Linked DNA regions of Caenorhabditis elegans. The protein of the gene in region 2 interacts with the protein of the main gene of each other region in a pairwise test. Each region holds a gene or a part of one and is shown on either strand. Other genes may lie near its edges.

Region 1 (7,470 bases), on a different chromosome or scaffold from region 2:
GAATTTTTATTTGGCATGATAAGGTACCATTCTACAGTAACTGTAACATATTAAGCCCGCACGTTGGTGGGGAGTGGGAAGGAAGGGGAAGGGGGACGTGGAGAAGTGTGTGTCGATGGTTCATCAATTACACCGATGGCGCAACAATTTGGAACAAAAATAGATGGAACTGTGGTAATTAATAATCTCAATCAATTAAACAATACAAGTTATTTGTTCTTAATACATATTACTACTGACAAGGTGTATATATAGAAGGGTGGGAAATGATTTTGAATCCAAGTAGTTCAAAAATCAATATTTTAAACAATTAGAAATAATAATCTCAAGATTCACATGAACAAATATTTGATATTCATCACATTGGGTTGGGCGGGGGCGGGGCGGGTGTTTTTTGTTTTGTGTAATTTTTTCGACCGTTTTTCTTTTACCGATTGCAAATAATGGGAGGAGGAGGGGCGAAGTTTTTGCACCTTTTGGATGTTGTGATAGGCGCTTTGAAATGATTAGGACATGGTAACAAAGACAACGATCTCAGAGAGAAAAAGTGTGGCGGGAAGTGGTGATGAGGGCGAGGTGTCTATACCGGATTATTTGTACCCTATGCGGAGGTGAACCAAACAATAATGGCAAGCTGGGGAAGGCGAAATGCTCTTTCAAATGAGGGGGCTTATAGACATAAGGGTAAGCTTCCCTATCTACCCTATTTAAGAGAAAAAAAAACGTTTTGAGCTACTACGATGGCGGAAAATCTCTATATGGCAATTAGCACACACACGAGGAGGCACACGCATTTTTGAAGATGAATCAAATGAAAAGATTAAGTCGTGAAGGGGGTTTCTAATTCAAATTTTTAAGAAATCTGGCTAAGCGAGATGATGAAATAGAGAAGAGAAATAGCAAGAAAGAAACCGAAGAAGAAAAAGAAGAAGAGAGTAATAAAATGAACTGATCTCCTATACCCGGGCACTTTGAAATCGTACCAGTAGTAGTAGTAGAAACAAAAGTGGGTATATGTGTTGGGAGGTGGGGATGTGGGATAATGAAGGAGGATGAAAAAGGCAAATATTGATATATGTATATGGGGGAGCAAAACTACCAGTACGGACCATCGGTGCTAAGCGCCTTCCAAGAGGCGAATTTTCCCCAATCGTTGTAGTCGAGCTTGTAGGCGTCATCTCGGTCGAGATATTTTGAACTGGAAAATCAATGTTCATATATTTTTATTTTCGAAATAGAAATCAACTTTTTTGCACTTTGGGTGTCTTTCAGCTTATCAAAAAAAATTCAGTTTACAAAATCTTCATACTTATTTTTGTTACGTTTTAATTTTAAGTAAAACGTTAAAAATTGATCAAGATAGAAGCAGTCTTCTGATATCAGGAGCTAAAATTGAGAAGTAAACAGACAACACTTTTTGCTCACTTTGTAATTTGAGTAGCACCAGTTAATTCGGTTGGAATACAACTACAGAATATGCGGTCTGAAAGGCTTTTAATAGGCTTTTGATTGATGATCTTTTGTACCAAAGGTAAGCTACTTATGCAATGAAAGTTGCTAACAGGGCCTCACAAACAATTTTAAACTCAATGCAAATTTAGAAAATCAATAATTTTTCAATTATACAATTCTCACCTGCCGAACAACGACGCGCGACGTTGTTGTGGAACGGCAGGATGCTGTTGCTGCTCGCAGTGCAACACGTAGTTTGTACCCGAGTTAGAGTCCCAGTATTCGGTGCCGTTCGCTTTGAAACAAATGCAAAACTCAATTTGGTGGATCTGTAACTGCAAGTTTCGAAACTAAAATACTTAAGAAAATGAGCACACCTTCTCCACAGAAGAGGGCAGGTCAAGGTCGAATTTGAAAGTGTCCTGAATTTTGCTGGTGGATGGTTGGTATATCGCCGCTTTATCCATATACGAAATCCAGCCATTCATTGTGTATCGCACAAAAACGCTCTTCTCAAATGCAATATTGCCCACTTTGATTGTTCCCATCACTTTGTATGCTTCATTGTTTAAGATCACATTTTCCAGCGACACTTTGTTCTGTAAGGAAAAATTCAAGTTTGAATATAAGTAAAAATAATATATAAGTGGTTTATTAAAAAGTTTTGAGTCAAAAGGTTTATACAAATCAAAGAAAATTAACATTTCAGATATAACAAATGTTTTGGCACCAGTGTATTCAGCATTAAGATCAATGATTGTCTAAAATAGTAAGATCATTCTCGAAATACGGTGATCAAATTCACAAAATTCAAAAAACTTACTTGTTTGCCAAAGAATTCACTAACTTTTGATATACGAGTTTTCGACAATTTTTGCTACCTCCCGTTGAGCTTTGATCACACTAATATTTTTCTGAACATGACAGCAAGCTGTCTCTCTTCAACTATATTTTTTAATGTAGAAAATCAGAATGTTTTTGAATTTTATCTATGGTGCCCCTACATTTTTTAAATCGATTTTAGTGCTACTTTGAAAAACAATTCCTATTTACTATCATAACGCGAATTCCAAAAAATTAAAAATAAAACTAACAGTTTCCATGTTTTCCCGAAAACGAACATAATCCGCTGCAGGCTGTTTAAACATCAGATTCCAGACAGGAGCCGGCTCGCGAGTAGTCATCTCCTCTTCTTCGAACGATTCTCCCCGATAGCGACGGAGCACAGAAGGACTCAGCTTCGGTGGGCAATTGCTGGGCTCCGTCGCCACGCGGACCATGTAGAGCTCATGTCCGCAGTCGTCGGCAAATCGTACCGATTTGCGCAACTTCTCTTCCTCTTTCAATTCGAGAGGCCCCGCACAGAAGAGCTCCAAATCGTCGACCTCGCATTCGCTGCTCGATGAACTGTGCGATTGGTAGTCGCTTCCTTCATCTGGAACTATGAAACATTATCAAAAAAAAAGTAATAAAACGGATCTTTTAAATCTTTTAAATTCCTCATGGAAGCTTACTCGTAGGCTGACGCATAATCAATGAGCCTATTTTAAGAAACTAGAAATATGTATGTCTGTGAATCTAAAGAAGGCCAACAATATCCGGACTCCACCTTTTTCATACCCCACTGTCTAGAAAAAGATGATAAACTAGGAAGCAAGTTTCTTCAGTTCCGTACAGTGTCAGGTATACGGTAGGCAAATGCAATAAGTACATTTGCAAGTTGATTTTGTTATCAAAATCAATTTGTCTTTTTGTTGCAAACAGAGCGTTCACAAACCATAAAATTGACTATGTGTCTGTAAACAAGTCGATAAATACTATTCTTTTGTAGAGTTACGTGCAAGGGTAACGATTTGGGCTGAAAGTCTACAAGCTCAAAAGCTTATATGTCTAGATGTCTAGAGACCTAGAATCGTAGAAGGCCCGAAGATTCAAAGTCTCGGCAGTTTGGCTTCAAGTATGCGGCTAAGCCTAAGCTCTAGTTAGCGGGAGCCTAGTGGGAGCCTTTAGCATAAGCCTAACTCTAAACCTAAGCCTAAGCTAAAGCCTCAACTAAAGCCAAAACCTGAGCCTACGTCTAAGCCTAGTACCCAAAGCTTAAAGATCAGGATCAAAATTGAGTTATCGTACACACTATATACAATGCAAAAGCAATGTAACAAATTTTGATCTGTGCGTTCTTCGTCTGCCTGACAAAATCTATTTGGGTGTACTGTAGACTACATCATAGTCCACTCCGGCAAACTTCTTACAATAGCTGTTGCAGGACAAATATAAAATCTATTTATAGCGAATTAAGAGTGATTTGGAACGACATGAAATTAACAAAAAGTTCCAATTACACAATCAAATTATACCTTTCTCCTTAATTGTCGATTCGGACAGACGTTTGCGAACCGTTTCCAAGTTCATCTGTGTCAATCGCATCTTGTTTAAGGCTTCCGACTCGCTCTTGGAGCGGACCTGAAAAAAAGAAAATTGATAGATTTTCTTGTCTTTTTTGTTTTTTTTTGCTGCATGGAAATGTAAAATCAAAGGGTGAAAGAGAGTCATTGTTTATGGCAAGTTAAATGAAGACTAGTGCATGGCTATCTCTGACGATAAAAGCTACCGTAAACCAGTCTCCAATCACGATAAACATTCTCGCATTGGGCACGTTGAAAGTTCAATTTCAAAAGCAAAATGTGATGTCGATAGTGATCTTTTGAACTTTGACTAGTGAAAATGCTGGGAGTTGTTGATTATTGCAGGGAGGATGGGGAATGAAAGTATAGAAAAAAGTAACAAGAAGGCGATTTTTTCACAATTTTTGAACTTTGTTGAATAAAATCATTTTAAAACTTTTTATTGTTAAAAATAAACATTTTTCGCTCTGCTTAATCAAAACGTTTTCAATTAAATGAAAATTCACAAACATCTGTTTCTGGACCACATTTTACAAAATTGGAAAATAACTGAAGTGGGCAGTTAAAAAAAAAGTGAGAAAAAACAACATCTATGAAGTTCAATCTTGTCCAATTCGTTATCAAATTAAAACTTCGTTCCAGAATCAAAGTAAATTTCAAATTGAAAATGACAACTGCGTATTTAAAGCTCTAAGACTTGAAAGAAGTATATCTTTAAAGAACTTCCGTTTTACACAGAGGCCAAAAGTTCAAGATTAGACGAATCCGTATCGAAAACAATAATTTTGATCATTTGAACTTTGATTTTCAAAAATGGCGAAAAGACTAAACTTTTCTTCATCTTATTTCTTACATTTTCGCAGTGTGTGTTGTGCCTTGTTTTTTTTCTCTTCACCCGAAGCCCTCAGGCTTCATCTTTACTCTGCGTCTCTGATCATCTATGTTTTTGATGCGCTCTCCCCGCACCCATCACATCGTCACGGCTCCCCACTTACATTTCTCGCCCATCTAACTCTGGCCCGTATTCGGTTTTTGCACGTCGCCAGCTTAAAAAGTGCATTTTAGTTCGGCACGGCGATATTCAAGGAACCAGGGGGACTCGGACAACATTTTCTGGCTTTTTTTAATGGAAAAACCAATTCTGGCAGAGAGAAAAGTGTTTTCAATTAACATGCTTGCTTTTTTCAGAAAATCAATGTTCATAAGCTTGAATTTGTTTACTTTTCGAGAGAAAACCACTCAATTCTAGAAGTTCTTTTAGCAATTAAACACACCTTCAAACTGGATGCCTGTATTATTGAGGAGTCGCCGACAAAGGGGAAGCTTGCGGCTCGGCGGCAGCCCGGCGATGTGGAGAGGACGCAGCATTCTCGTTCGCGCCCCATTTCCATCGGCGCCCTGGAAATAATTTCAGGTGATTCAGTGTCACTTCAACTATTACTAGGAGCAGCAATGCTTTGAAATAGAAAAGTATAAAGCAGAAAACCTTCTGGAAGAGCAAAAAAATAATGTTGACAGAAAATAAGAAGAACTAGGTAAAGCATTAAAGATCGCTCACACAATAACAAACAATAGTCGGAGAGGGGGGCCCACTGCAAACGAACCTAGTCAATCGAAACTTGATCTCCTGAATCACACCGTCTAAATCTTCAAAACTGTCGATGAGCATGGAAAGTGAGAAGCCCATTTTCTACATACGGCGACCGCAGTGTGAGGAGATGGGGGACCCTCGTAAAAAAGTTTTGTCTACTCGGGAGAAAAGGAGGGGGGGGGGGGGGCCTAGAAGGACTTATCAAGAGGAGCAGCAACGTGCAGTTAAAATAGGAAAAAAGGGAAAAAGATGGACAGACTCTGAATCAATCTGTTGGCGCGACGACACATGGGGAGCAGGGCGGCTGCGGGGGCCTTTGGGCTCTTGGCTCCGTCGTTGCTTCTTCTTTCTGCTCATGCTCACGTACACACATTCACTCCGACTCTCTATATCTCTCTCACTTGGTAGAGGAGTAGGAGCACGCAGCGAGCAAAAGGGAAAAGTCTTTATCTTATTTCTTTCTTCTCGATTTCTTTTCTTGTTTTTTATTCTTCTCATCGGTACTTTTCTGACAAGTCTGGAAAATATTGGGTAGTGGGAGCAACTGTTCCAAGAGAAGTGAAATGTGTACTTGGTTTTGAGACTTTTTTAAAGGTATCACGTTCTTTCTCGACTACACGTCACTTTCCGTCATGAGCAAAAAAGTCAATTAACGTCATGAGCGTTCCAACAGAACGCGTTTGCATAAATTGCCTAACCTACCTCACATCTAAAATGCCTTCAGAGTTCCAAAGCTTAACTATTGAATAAAAAGTTACCGATTTAGAGTGAAACTAAAAATTGCTACCAAAAAAATAACCTATTTATCAGAGATACAAGGCTAGGCCTCAAGATACGCCCTCTCAATCAAAAAGATGGAGATTTATAACGAACCCGGACCACGTGGAAAATTTTTCTCATCATATTCACTTTCAAAAAAACGACTTTCAGAAACAAAACATTTTCCACAGAAAAATAATCAAAAAATGGGAATTTTCAGCAAGTGCAGACTATTTGGAATATGGTTCTTCTTCACTATATTTTTAGTTTGATGCTTTGCAAACACAATGTCTATGTATGCCCTCAGTGCAAAATCTCGTTAAAATAGGAAAACAATGAATTGGGCCAAATTCCAAAAGTCAACGATCTGCCAAGTGCACTGACCAACAATCGTTACCCGAAAAAAATTGTGAGAAAAGTCACATACGCAGAAAACTTATCAAAAAAAATATAATCAGCATGAAACTTTCTTCGAATAACAGTTATTACTAGAGGACTGGGATTGACAGAAAACATCAAGTTCAAGTTGGAAATTGAAAAGTTGAACAGATTTCGTATAGGGTGAAAGACAACAAAAAATTTAGGTACTTTTCCTTTTCTACCCCGCAATTTTTAGAGTATTGGAAGCATTGAATTATTCAAATTTAATTCACGTGAATGTTTATTTAAATATTTTTTTATTTATTTTTAGACTTAGAAAGCAACATTACTAAGCCTAAACTACAGAAAAAGGTCACGTTTTTATTAAAGAAAATGTTGCAGAAGAAATTCGGGGTAGAAAAAGAATAGTACCAAAATTTAGTTTGTATTTCGCAACAACTCACAATTTATAGGTGGACTACACCCTGTGAGAAAATTGCTTTAAAACACGCCTATGGGATCACAATGACCGAATATCTTGATAAAAAAATTTTAAAAAAATTTCTAGATTTTATATGATTTTTTGAAAATTGAAAAAATCTCAGTTTTCCCCTAATTATATTTGAATTTCTGCCAATTGAATTCGTTCGTTGGAGCGCGCTTGCATTAGTTTCATTAATTATTTTTATTTATTTTCATTATTTCACTGATTTTCTCCTTTTTTTGGGGGTTTTTCATCGGAAAATGAAAAAAATAAACAAGAAAAATGGAAAATGTTTATTAAAAAGTAACTGAAAATGCCTAAAACTCTGAATAATGCCAATTTCAGTATCGTCGTCGTCGGATCGCATATTTCTAGAGTTTTAGGCATTTTCAGTTACTTTTTAATAAACATTTTCCATT
Region 2 (5,174 bases):
GACGTATACCTAATATTTTTTATTTTGCGACGAGAAAAAACTAAAAGTTATCTTATGTTTGATACTATGTATACATTCGTATGCAGAAGCCAAAGATACGTTAACCGGCCTTGACACGACTCGTTGCTACGGAATTTTTTATCGAATTTGTAAGAAAAACTATAAAAAATTTATGTAAACTCCACACATCGAAAGTTTGGAATTACAGTACTATTTAAAGGCTCACATTCAACAAAAACTTGTCGTGTCCAGACCCAGTACCGTTTTTTGGCACGAATTTTCGCGTCTGGGTAGTACTATAAGAAAAACATTCGTTAGCGTTCCGAATCTATTAAGATTTTATCTATCTTTGAAAATAATTGCATAGTTTCGATGTTTGCAGCGCTTTAGAAAACGGAAAAATCCGTTAAACGGTTTTTTAAAGGAGATTTTTTGAAATTCGATTTTTTTAACTTTTAGTTTTGAAAAATCATTATGAAGTAACACTTTACCGGCTGTTCCTCTTCTGGTAGCGGTTGTGGCTGTGTTTGTTGATGTTGCTGTTGAGGGCGTTGATGATTCTTCTTGTTCTTCTTTTTCGGGCCCCCAACAGAGTTCGCGTTTGGCGGCATCTTCTTCGAACTGTGCAGATTATCGATTTGTTCAGAAAATGTGGTGAAGAACAGAACACAAACAGGAACAGATAGGATAGAACGAATGAGAAGAGAGGACAACAAAAAAAAGAGAAAAAATAATCAATAGGAAGATGTGAGAAGATAAAACAACAGAGATTTTGTTTTTCTCAAACTTTCAGGTAGATCAACGATCTATGAGTGTCTGATCCGACAAAGGTGCATTGTTACCAGTGACAGAAAAGCGGCAGAAGAATCGAAATCATGCCCTTCTCTTTCTCTCTTTTCACTTCTCACGTGTGCTAGACATGACATGGGGAGAAAACGACAGAAACTGCAGTTGGTCACGAGGGACTAGAGGGAACAGGCGACGCAGAGAAATGGAGGGAGTTGTGAGGAGGATGGAGAAGAAGGCTTCCATGAGCACCACACTTCTCGCATCTTTTTTGCTGATTTTTCTCACTCCAACTATTTTTCTTTTTTCTTATTTCTTATTGAACTTGACTAGACATCAATCGATTTTTTTAAATGCTCACTGCTCATTTTCTAACTAATGCTTCAATATATTTTCTGAACGAATTCATGGATGCAGAAGTACCAAAGTGTTCATATATTTCTAGCTAAATAATATATAACTTTTGAGTACTATAATAATCTCATATTTCAAAATGATTCATAAGTAAAAGTTTTATCAAAATATGCTAAATAAACTTCTTATAACTACGTTTTCATCTATTAAACTTTCACTTAATAAGATTTAATGCATCTTGTTCCCCATGTTTTTGCATCTGATCATAATTGCTGACAAATCGTGAACGAAGAACAGTGTATTTGTTATATTTACACATTTCAATCTCTCACCACCAACCAATTTCTCTGCCATCTTGGTCGAAAACAAAGTGACGAATTGGCGCATCATTCGATTATATGTGCCCCGTTTTTGACAAATAGTGAAAATTTCAGGGAAAAGAGAAACTTTAAGCTTTATCTTCTAAATAATGGTAGAAATATTTTCCTCAATGTAAAATTCAACTTTCAAAGCCCTCTAACCAAGTTAATCCTTTTCGCGCGCTCTTTTTCAATTCAATACTAATGAAGTTCTGAAAATTTGAACGTCCCCTTTTTTTTAATTTTAACAAGAAGAAAAAATGTAGAAAAACAGATTCAAAATCATTAAATTAGCGGATAAATTCAGAAAAAATGAGAACATGTAAAAGCGCTCCACCGGCCACCGTACCCTGCTGAATGCGGCATTTTCGCGGCGAGACCCGCCACTCTTTTCATTCGTTTTGACCCTGTCGCCTCCAAATATCTTTCGATTTTTGACATGTTTGCTGCTGTTTTTATCAACTTTTCGAGTAATCACGCGATTTAAAGACGTAATTATCAAACTTTCTTTCTAAATTTTCCGTATTTTCACGTTTGTTGATTGACATTATCTCAAAGAGGTAATTCTATTCGTATTGCAGATCTAATTGGGTTGTTTGAGCGATTTCTCGCAACAAATGGACGTAGAAAAGCTTAATCTGGACAATATCATCTCCAGATTATTGGAAGGTATGTGTTTGTCATAGTGTTTATTGAAATTAATCTTAAAATGATTTCCGCTTCAGTCAGAGGATCCAAACCAGGGAAAAATGTTCAACTCACAGAGAGCGAGATCAAGGGGTTGTGCCAGAAGTCTCGTGAAATTTTTCTGAGCCAACCTATTCTTCTCGAGTTGGAAGCTCCGTTGAAAATTTGCGGTAAGTTCTATCGAAAAAAGTTGACGTTTCCTGCTATGAGTCATTTTACTTATTAGTATTTCCTTCCACAGGAAATTGCCGTTTTTATTTTTGATAATATATATTCTGAGAAAATATATTTTTCAGGTGACGTGCACGGACAATACTACGATCTTTTGAGACTGTTCGAGTATGGTGGATTCCCCCCAGAGTCGAACTACTTGTTCCTCGGCGATTATGTGGACCGAGGGAAACAATCGTTGGAAACTATCTGTCTCCTACTTGCATATAAAATCAAGTACCCGGAAAATTTCTTCCTGCTCCGAGGAAACCACGAGTGTGCCTCGATCAACAGAATTTATGGCTTCTATGACGAGTGTAAGAGTTTGATCTGAGATTATCTTAGTACAGATTTATTCAAATCTCATGTTTTTAGGCAAGCGGCGATACAACATCAAACTGTGGAAGACGTTCACCGATTGCTTTAACTGCCTGCCAGTTGCCGCCATCATCGACGAAAAGATCTTCTGCTGTCACGGAGGACTTTCTCCAGATCTTCAGTCTATGGAGCAAATTCGTCGTATCATGAGGCCGACAGACGTACCAGATCAAGGATTGTTGTGCGATCTGTTGTGGTCAGATCCTGATAAAGTTCGTTTGTGAACATAAAATTCAATGAATGATTACCATTTATTTTCAGGATGTCACTGGCTGGGGAGAAAACGACCGAGGCGTCTCTTTCACTTTCGGACCAGAAGTTGTTGCCAAATTCCTGCACAAGCACGATTTGGATTTGATTTGCAGAGCTCACCAGGTATTACTTAAGATTTTCTGCAAAGTTGCGAACCGAGAAATTTTCAGGTTGTGGAAGACGGTTACGAATTCTTCGCTAAGCGGCAGTTGGTTACATTGTTCAGCGCTCCTAATTATTGTGGAGAGTTTGATAACGCGGGATCGATGATGACTGTCGATGAAACACTGATGTGCTCTTTCCAGGTAAACATAGCGGTACCATCTATATAATTTTAAATACTGATAATGCGTATGCATTCACCAATGATGCAATGGTTAAATCAGACGAGTCTATTTTGGCTATCTATTCGAGTTCTTCGAAGAAATTGCCGCTAAGCGGGGTGAAATTGAGGCATTTGTCTGAGGTGATTTATTAAACGCTAAAACTACCTATCAAACATTAAAATAAAACAATTCGGAATATTTTTTTCAGATCTTGAAACCAGCAGACAAGAAGAAATATCCATATGGTGCTGGAGGAGTTGGTTCAAATAGACCAGTCACCCCACCACGAAACGCACCGGCTGCGCAACCAAAGAAGGGTGCCAAGAAGTAATCATCAGTCGATTTATCTATCATCTGTAAATACCTAACCTTTTCTTTGTTGTTCACGCCCCAAGAGGCCTCGGCCATCTCTCGTAAATCGGCTTCAAAAAGTTGTGTACATTAATTTTGATTTTAAACATAGTTTCGAAAAAGTTTAAATTCGATTCATTATGATCTAGGCTGGCACGAGAAGATGCTGTGGTCCCGGCGAATCTCCTCTCAATTCAAGCTTTCGTTGTCAACATCCCTTCCTCTTTATCTCTGTGGACCATTTAGAGCTAATGACTCCTCACCAATTGCTGGCTCAATTTTTCATCAAAACAATCCCCATTTTATTCGTTTTTAAATTCCAAATTTTAATTTTTTTTGCTAAACTTATCTCTTAAAACAGTATCAAATTTTACTTCTCTAAATGGTCTAAATATTTAAAACAAATGTTTATGATGTCAATCAATCTCCACTCCTTTCCTTCCTCCATTCATTCGTCCATCCCGTACTCTTCGTTTCTCAATTTTATATTGTTAAAACCCCCATTTGTCGATTTAATTCATTAAAGTTTTCCGAACAAATAAAATAGAACACTGGTACAAGCGTGTAAGCAATATTTCTTATTACAACGAGTGCAACGTCTCCAAGGAGAGCGTGCGAGACGAACAGACATCCCCCACGACTAGTGCTCCTCGAGCCGTCTCATCGATTTCTGTCGTTTGTCAGTTATTCAGAAATGCTCCGCCCCGGCTCTTCAGTAAGCTATAATAGGTAATCAGAATGAAGAGAAATATTTTTTGAGTTTTTTCGATTGATTTTCCGTGTTTAGCTCAATGAATCAAGTTTCAATAGATGCACACCCGTCAGATCAGGCAATTATTGTACGATTTGAACAATCTCCTAGTAAGTTTTATATTTTTATTTTCAATTGAATGTGTTACGAAGATTATTTGGAAGTTTGATTCAGGTTCTTCAGCAGGAATTTCAATAAAAAAGCGAGCTTCTTCAGCGAACGTTGAGTCTCTTGGCCATCAAAAAATGTAAGAATCTGATATAAAATATAAAATTAAACTGGAATGCAAATCTGCTTAACAAGAAAAATAAAATAAAATATTTTTAAGACCGTATGCCCACGAAGGTGCACGTATTCTTTCGGATGGGTCTCACCGCGAAAAATGTTTATGGTAACACTTTAAATTTTTTCTGTTGCAAAAACCACAATCAAGATACAGAAAAGTTATTTAATAATTGCTCACAAAACCCCGAATAACAGAAAACGCACGACCGAAAATAGCAAAAAGTGTTGACTTGAGCATTTTGCTCGCTGTGAGACCCATTCCCCATGAATCCATGCCTCTTTAATTTTTAGAATATTGGAAAATAACTGATAAAAAATAATAATCGAATATATATATATATGAGAACCTCAAAATGTCACCTGCATCTAACATTGTACGGCTACAAAATTACCCAAATTGTATTACAGAATCCACTTGAAAGAAATGAGTCTGGA

What was found. Proteins that work in one complex are often made in the same cells at the same time.
Region 1: the proteins of gsp-2 (region 2) and H18N23.2 interact in a two-hybrid assay, tested with the Caenorhabditis elegans proteins (one large-scale study listed by BioGRID).

Annotation. Positions count from the first base shown.
Region 1 is NC_003284.9:17,622,721-17,630,190, forward strand, and holds H18N23.2 (Protein phosphatase 1 regulatory subunit), read right to left. Parts: upstream 5,527-7,470; coding exon 5,462-5,526; intron 5,256-5,461; coding exon 5,132-5,255; intron 3,916-5,131; coding exon 3,810-3,915; intron 2,888-3,809; coding exon 2,547-2,887; intron 2,052-2,546; coding exon 1,830-2,051; intron 1,782-1,829; coding exon 1,636-1,781; intron 1,199-1,635; coding exon 1,096-1,198; downstream 1-1,095.
Region 2 is NC_003281.10:7,334,507-7,339,680, forward strand, and holds gsp-2 (Serine/threonine-protein phosphatase PP1-beta), read left to right. Parts: upstream 1-2,080; 5' UTR 2,081-2,116; coding exon 2,117-2,168; intron 2,169-2,224; coding exon 2,225-2,356; intron 2,357-2,482; coding exon 2,483-2,713; intron 2,714-2,771; coding exon 2,772-2,986; intron 2,987-3,035; coding exon 3,036-3,149; intron 3,150-3,196; coding exon 3,197-3,331; intron 3,332-3,385; exon of another isoform or gene 3,386-3,496; intron 3,497-3,560; coding exon 3,561-3,683; 3' UTR 3,684-4,259; downstream 4,260-5,174. Other genes in the region: F56C9.10 (BCAS3 WD40 domain-containing protein), read right to left, coding at 492-611; kap-1 (Kinesin-associated protein), read left to right, coding at 4,495-4,564, 4,629-4,701, 5,148-5,174. UniProt on the Caenorhabditis elegans protein: Serine/threonine-protein phosphatase essential for chromosomal dynamics during meiosis and mitosis. During meiosis, promotes chromosomal cohesion and germline immortality via a small RNA-mediated genome silencing pathway.